Canis lupus familiaris: one gene and its partner. The protein of the gene in region 1 purifies or fractionates together with the protein of each later gene. This does not show direct contact. Links are inferred from orthologs where the notes say so. Each region holds a gene or a part of one and is shown on either strand. Other genes may lie near its edges.

Region 1 (3,824 bases):
CGAGGCGTCCAGTGCTTTCTGTACTACCTTCACTCTCCACTGTACCTCCTGTTTTGGCCCACACACTGTTCTGCTCAGTTGTCTGAGATGCGGCAGAAGCCTGATCCTCTTCCTCAGTAGATTTCCATCCATTTGTAAACTTCTTACCATTGCCATTTGCACTGTCATTGGAATGCTGATTGCTAGGCAGTTTGCTCCACTCCACGCTGGGTATATTAGTGCCAGTGTTTTGTGCAGGAGTTCCCCATCCTCGTCGACTTCCTCCAGAATTTGCGCCATTTCCACTTCCCCACGATGCATTCTGGGAATTCGTTGCCCCAGACTCCCACACACCTCCTCCTTTATTTGTGTTCACTTGAAAGTTAGTGCCCATAGGCCCATTTATGCCAGGCTGCATTAGAGTTGCATTCACAGTGTCACCATTAGCTTGGCCGTTAGGGCTCGAACATTTGTCTCCAGAGTAATTAGAACCATAGGCACCCCACGTAGTACCGTAAGAGCCTCCACTTTTTGGCTCTCCATTGCTAAGATGAGAAAGGGAAGTGCCATTCATAACCGATGGAGCCTGTATCTGAGGATGATTCATTGTGCTCACACGCCAGGCCCCTGTATTACTAGGCAGTTCGTTATTCTGTACTGAACCGGAGTTTGGTAAACTAGAGGTCATAAAGTTAGTAGTGTTATTTGGTCCAGTCATCTCAGTGGTAATATTCTGAGGTTGACCACTGAATGAAACCTTCTGTGTACCACTTACTTCAGATTCACAAGTTTCCTGAAGGCTTCCCCAGGTACCATGGGTGGAAGAACCACCCACTTTAGAGTTAATACTCTGATTGTTAGGCATCTGGCCTATGGTACTACACTGAATATTGATGCCAGAACTACCGCTCCCTACAGGCCCTTTGAGGGCAAGTCCGTTGTTGTCTAATACTGGCCAGGCACCATGGTTGCTAGCTGAATTCAAAGTGCTTGGATTTAACCCTCCATTTGATGAAGAACTTACAGTGCCCCAAGCATTCATTCTATTGTTGCTACTTTCTGATTTGCTTTCAGGAGCATCCACAGAGACCTGACATGTGCTTATTATGGCTCCATGGGAAAAACCCCATGGCCCAGGACTACTTCCATGGCCCACATTATTGCTGCTGCTACCAACCACAAACTTGTTTTGGGAACCAAGTCCAGTGCTATTCCGAAGGCCATCTTTTTCACCACCTGTGCTCCCTGAAGCCATGATAGTGATGTTTCTCTCTGATTCAGAACTGGAGGCAGAATCAGCATCCATACATTCTGAAGCCAACTCTGGATCACTGCCAGGGACTGAGGGCCATGCTTCTGTCTCAGGGGAGTCGTTTACAACAGCATTCTTACAATTTGTGCTAGAGTCACTCGGAGAAGACACAGGTCCCCGCTGTGAATTTTCATAATGGGATCCTGAAGTACTGTGGTTTATATCTAGAATAAAGGAGAAATACAAAAACTATTAAGTGCTTGGAAAGATGAGAAATGTTATAAACATATGTGGTTCCTCGACATTAACAAAATTTGATACTTGGCAGTATGGTTACAAAAGCACGGATTATATCCCAGCTACCAACTTTCCTTATCTAGTCATTAATTCCACACAGGCAGGGTATTTTGCGTTTTATTCACTGATGTTATCCTATGAGCCTAGGGCAGTACCTGGAACACAAGAGTCCCTCTCATTAGAGATCTGCTGCTGAATGAACAAACTATTACTTATCAGCAAGTAGAAGAATTTTAGTGTCAGGAAGAACTAGGTTGTAGTAATGTATTAGGATAATGAAGCAACCCAGGCCTAGAGGCCTGACGTGGAAAAAAAAAGGGGGGGCTGGGAAGGAGATGGGTAAGGACAAAGGAGCAGGACAAACTTGACTAAATGTATTAGAAACATATGAGAAATCCTTTCCTGTCTTTCCTTTCTTAGAGGAGCTTTTTCACACAACGGTTTTGGGTATTAGAACAAGTTTATAAAAATTACAAAGCCTTTCTTTCCCATTTTATTTCCATTTCATTAGTGTTTATGTTCAACCTGAAATACTGCATGCAAGTACAAATATTTTTAGTTGCATTCTCCTTCATAAAAATTTAATTTACCTTCATAGCCATATTTTTTAGGAGATCACAGAATTATGATGATTAAAAAAATCAAGTGCTGACACTGAACATCATTAATGATCAGTCATAGAATCCTATAATCTTGGACTCACCGCTATACATTATCATCTAGTTATCTTCCTGCAGGTAGAGGGCAGGCAGTTCTCATGCTTCTAATACTTCCCCAGATTCATTCCTCTCATTCGGTTTAAGGATCTGGTAGTTAAAAGTTCCTCAGGGATATTAACCTGCATAAGATGTCTGCATTTAGACTGTCTTTAGGGGGTTGCTTATGTTGTAGTTTTCAACTAGAGTAGTACTCAGAATCCTACGTAGTGCTTTTAAATAACATACATGTTCAAATCACATCCTCACATCCCAGACCTAATAAACCAACTGCTAGGAGTTGCAAGCCTAGAAAACAAATGTAACTCACTACCAATGTACTGCAAATATAGAAAATCAGGTTCATCTTCCATCATTTCTCTCAAAGCACAATCATCAAGCATTAAAAAACTAGGAGTTAGAAAGAAGAGCAGAAAAAAGACTAAAGAGAGACTAAAGGCGTATACATAATTCACCAATTACATGAATCTTAAAGTTCCATAACAAACTCTTATCTCCACTCCCAGTTGGGAATCATTTTTTTAAGCTGTCAAATGAAGTTTGTCATCATCTTTCAGTGCCCATGAGAAGCATTTTCCTCATGAAACACAGGATATCGAACAGTTTGTCTCATGGGGTAAAAACAAACCAATATATCAACACCGGCACCAGCAGTATCATCAATCAGGACCACGGATCATGTGTTTTCTCTGCATTTTTGTCACTGACTCCTTGAAACAACCCTAAAGCACCGATACTACCTTTACTTTGTAGCTGGGAAAATAAATGAAGGCCCAGAGGCTAAGTTACAGAAAATCAGGTGAGGAAAGCAGGATTCAGCATTGAGTAATAAAGCAAGGTGGCTAAGTACATTGCTGAAACTCCACAGACACCAAGACTCAAGTCTGGGCTCTCTGCAGCAGTTGTATGACCAAATTTGCACAACAGGGAGACAGACAGTACCTCTTTACCCAGCTGTTAACTATACTGTCCTATGTGAAGTATTTAGTTCAGTGCCAGCTTCAAAGAAATGCTCCACCAGTGGCAGTTTGGTATAGTGATTAAGAGCACAACTTTGTAGTCAGACTGCTTGGGCTTAAAAGCTGCTCTGTCATTTCCTAGTTATATGATCACAGGCAAGATCCTCAATCTTTCTGTATCTTAGTTTCCTCATCTGTAAAGTGAGAACAGTAATTGCACCTGTCTCAAACAGAATACTAACTCCTGGATCATTCCCCCACAGATGCCTATTCCCAAAGGAGAAAAAAAATTCTGCTTCTTTACTGGTTTTCTTCGTCTCAGTAAGTTTCCTAAAACCTAAGATTTATCCTTGCTTGCTTACTGTGCATGGCAAATCCCAACCACCACCGAACCCCAAATCCATCCACTTTTCTCCAGATCTAACAACCAAGCCACCATCACCATCATCAGCACCTCAAAGACGTCGAGTAAAAGTACTTGTTGCCCATTATTTGTTTTTTCACATGCATGTGTGTTTCTTGCCACTTCCACAGAGCAAGCGTAAGAAAGGAAGATTGAGAATGTTCGACAAAACCGCCTAGGCTGAACACAAAAGGACAGACCTGGAATTTAACAGTGCA
Region 2 (3,824 bases), on another chromosome or scaffold:
ATGTAAATGTAAAATGTACAAACTATAAAATGTTTAACTTGTGTTTAAAAATGTGAATTTGTATAGTAGGCTGAGCTTATACTTATAGGTAGGTCGAAAAGTTGGGACGCCTGGTTGGCTCAGTTGATAGAGCATGCGACTCGATCTTGGGGTTGTGAGTTTAAGCCCCACGTTGGATGTGGAGCCTACTTGAAAAAAAAGTGAAAACATATTTCTTGAATTTAACATACTATTAAAGTTTGGTTGGTAATTTAACATACTATTAAAGTATGGTAGTAAAGTTAGGTTGGTTTCTGTTTTTAGGATATTATTTGAAATGAGCAGCCTTGTATATATCTGCTTTTTGGGAAAACCTTTTTTAGAGATTTGTACATGGCTTTCACTCCTGTTGGGTTATTATACCTGAATATTTTGCCACCTTAAACTTCAGTAGTTGATTAGTATTAAGAGCAGTCACTGCTGTTCTGAACAGATTGTTCTAATCAGTAAGTCAATCCCTACACCTGCAGCAATCCTTACATTTTGGACACAACAGTGTTTTCACTACTTTTTTGAGATTTGCATCCTCTAATATATTCCTGCATTTACTGAGATTTTTTTTTCCATTTACTAAGATTTTTGAGGGTGGGGAATGATTTGAAAACTTGAAATGGATTGGGAAATGGACAGTCTTGATTCGGAATTGAATTGTAACAATTTTGGAGTTTTCCTTACCAGCAGGAAATTTTCTTCATCCTATTTAGAGATTTATTAGCCTACCTGTATAGAGCTTTCGGCTTTCTCTTCTAATGAGTTGGGCATTATAACGCATGGAATTGGTTCCAAATTTTAAAATATTTCCTCCAAAGAAATTTAAATGACAGTATATTAGCTTACGCTGCATTGAGTTATGTAAACTATGCAGAAAAAAGAGAAAGAAGTAATTTATCCTCCCCTTTTTTTAACCAAACTTGTTGATCATCGAATGCCTGAAGTACTTATCCAGGTCTTTCTTCTGGATATTGTGATTCAGTAGGTCTAGGCATAGGACCTGGGATTCCATATTTTTGATAAGCTCTCTGGATGATTCCTGTTACTGTTCTACCTCACATGTTTTTTGGCATGGTGATAGACATTAAACAAAATAGACAAAAATCATTGCCCTCTTAAAGCTTACATTCTGATTGAGAGTGTACTGTAATAAAGATTAAGTGAGCATATGGCCCAGAATAATGTGAGCCTAGAGAAAGAATCTGTTATGCTTTGGGTTGGTTATAATTTGCTAAAGTATGCCTCCCAGTGTGGGTATCAGAGCCTGGTGAGTGAAACTTGCTGTTTAAGATACATATTTTTAGTGTAATAAGGCTAATAATATCTGTTGTTTAATGAAAAAAACTTAGATTTATTCAGATATCTTTCCTAAAGGGTTTTTCTGTGGGGAGTTTTGGTCTAAAGTGATGATTGTAGTTCCCCTCTATTTTCTCAAATGTTTCAGAGGCTAGTTGTTTTGTTTTTTTTTTTAATTTTTACATTAAGGTACAGTTTATATACAATGTTATATTAGTTTCAGGTGCATAAGGTTCCATACATTGTGTAGTGTTCACCACAATAAATGTATTTACCATCTGGTGTCATAGAGCATTACGTTTTGTTATTTTTCAAAGACATCTAGAAGCAGACTGATGTCCAGAGAATAGACCTTAAGAATACTTTTTTACTTAAAATGTTTCTTTTGGTTTAGTTATATTGTGGCTTTTAATAGAGTTTTCTATTGCCAAGTGGTGGAAATTAATATTCTTGCAATTTAAAAAGTAAATGAAAATACAATGGGCAGTGCACAAAATACTTCTCATGTATTCTCAGAAACCTATACCTTTGTTTTGATCCTTTTTTAATTTAACATTTTGGATTCCTGTGTGTGCTTAGAAATTAGGGCTTGCTTTTTTGCCTTAAGTAAAATCTTGAAGGACTGGTTTATATTTAGATTTCCTGGTTTGACTTTTGGAAGGTGATTTTCTAGGATTAAGATTGTTAGAAGAAATTATTGCTGTTATAGCAAAGGCTTTCATTTTAAGCATGTTACTGGTTATTGGAGCCATTTGAAAGGCTCATCATTAGTGAGAGGAGGAATCTCCCTTTTTCTTTAGGATGGAATGTAGTTTCACTTAGCCACATCAGATGTTTTCTCCAGCTTCTTCCTGGAGCTGCTGGGAGATGGGAGATGTATATAGGCTGTCACCCCAGTGGCTACAGCTCCATCTGGCAGCTATAAAAAGACTGCTGAGACTGAAAGCCCCTGGAAAAAACATGTCTTTTATTTTGTGGTGGTAGCCCCTGGTGAGTAGAAGACCCTTTTTTCAAACTCAGTTAAATATATCTAACTTGTGAAAGGCAAATGAAATTGAATCGATAGTAAAGCTTAAAATCTTACCCTTGGACTGTTTTTAAAAGATGAATTACTGAACAGTTTTCAAAAATAATAACCTTTATATTTAAATTGTATTTTCCTTCATATATGTGAAGCACTGGAATAATTGGACCCAAGCCAATCCTCTGTTTCGTTGTTTCTGGCACTGTAGTTGTAGATGTAAGTGGGAGAAAAACAGTTTGAAGTATGGCGCTTTTGAAGGTTGTCTTTCTTTTTCTCCTGCCAGGGAGGACATGTATGCTCAGGACTCTATAGAGCTACTAACAACATCTGGCATCCAGTTTAAAAAACATGAGGAGGAAGGAATTGAGACCCAGTACTTTGCAGAACTTCTTATGACATCAGGAGTGGTCCTTTGCGAAGGGGTCAAATGGTTATCCTTTCATAGGTAAAAAAGAAAAAAAAATTGCATTGAAAATAGCATTTGTGTTTCTGTTTCCTAGCTGCTTTATACTTGGTGTGGGTCACTGTTCGAGAGGGAACTGGCTGCCGCAAAACAGTCTCCTCTCTTAAGAAGCTAATGTTGGTCTGCTTAAGGGTTAATTTAAAGGTATGAGATTCATTTTTAGCCTATGAGAGAGACTGTATTACATAGTGGAAAAAGTTAAGCTGATAAAGTAGATCTTGGTTTAAATCCAGCAATGCCATTTGGAATCAATGTTACCAAGAGTCATTTAACATTTCTGAGCCTTAGAATTAAACCATTCATTCATTAAGAAAATATTTATTTAATATCTACCAATGCCAAGTACTGCAGTATAAGATTCTAGGAATTAAGCTGTGAGCCAAACAGACAAAAATCCTCATCTTCATGAAGTTTATATTCTGGTCAGAGTAGGCAATTTTTTTTTTTAAATGATGACATTTATATTGTGGTTTATTGGTTAGTAAGTGCAATGCAGTAAAAAACCAGAAAGAGAGTGTTAGGGGAGGGTAGAGGTTGTGGATTTTATTATTTTTTTTTTTTAAATAGAGTGATCAGCTGGCATTACTTAGGTAAATATCTTGTTTTAATGACCAATGATATATTTAGAGCATTTTAGTAAAAGACTTTACACACAGTTAATTCTCAACAAATAGTCATTTTTAATTCTTATTATAAAATAAGACTGGATTGTTGAAGAGAATTTCCAGAAGGGGAATTAGTTCCATTTTTTAAGAAGAGACTTCCAAATAAGACAGAGTTTTCCTATTTAGGTAAACTAAATTAAACTGGAAGCCCAGGGACTAAAAGTGGCCTCGGTAATTAATTTATTTGGCCTTCTCTTACGGTAATTAATTTATTTGGCCTTCTCTTAATGTTCTTACATTGGGTCCATTCCACACATTTAAAAAAAAAAAAGGAGTCTCCTGCATTTTCAGCTCTAGCCTCTGGAATGATTATAGTGAAGGACTGTTCATATTGCAAACTCTGGTG

What was found.
Region 2: the proteins of TNRC6A (region 1) and CNOT7 purify together in Homo sapiens (affinity purification with western blotting; 3 studies listed by BioGRID and IntAct, with this or other methods). This does not show direct contact. The link is inferred for Canis lupus familiaris from reciprocal best matches to the Homo sapiens genes TNRC6A and CNOT7.

What each region holds. Positions count from the first base shown.
Region 1 is NC_049227.1:21,528,837-21,532,660, forward strand, and holds part of TNRC6A (trinucleotide repeat-containing gene 6A protein), read right to left. Parts: intron 2,333-3,824; exon of another isoform or gene 2,248-2,332; coding exon of another isoform or gene 2,232-2,247; intron 1,456-2,231; coding exon 1-1,455.
Region 2 is NC_049237.1:41,445,488-41,449,311, reverse strand, and holds part of CNOT7 (CCR4-NOT transcription complex subunit 7), read left to right. Parts: intron 1-2,633; coding exon 2,634-2,795; intron 2,796-3,824. UniProt on the Homo sapiens protein: Has 3'-5' poly(A) exoribonuclease activity for synthetic poly(A) RNA substrate. Its function seems to be partially redundant with that of CNOT8.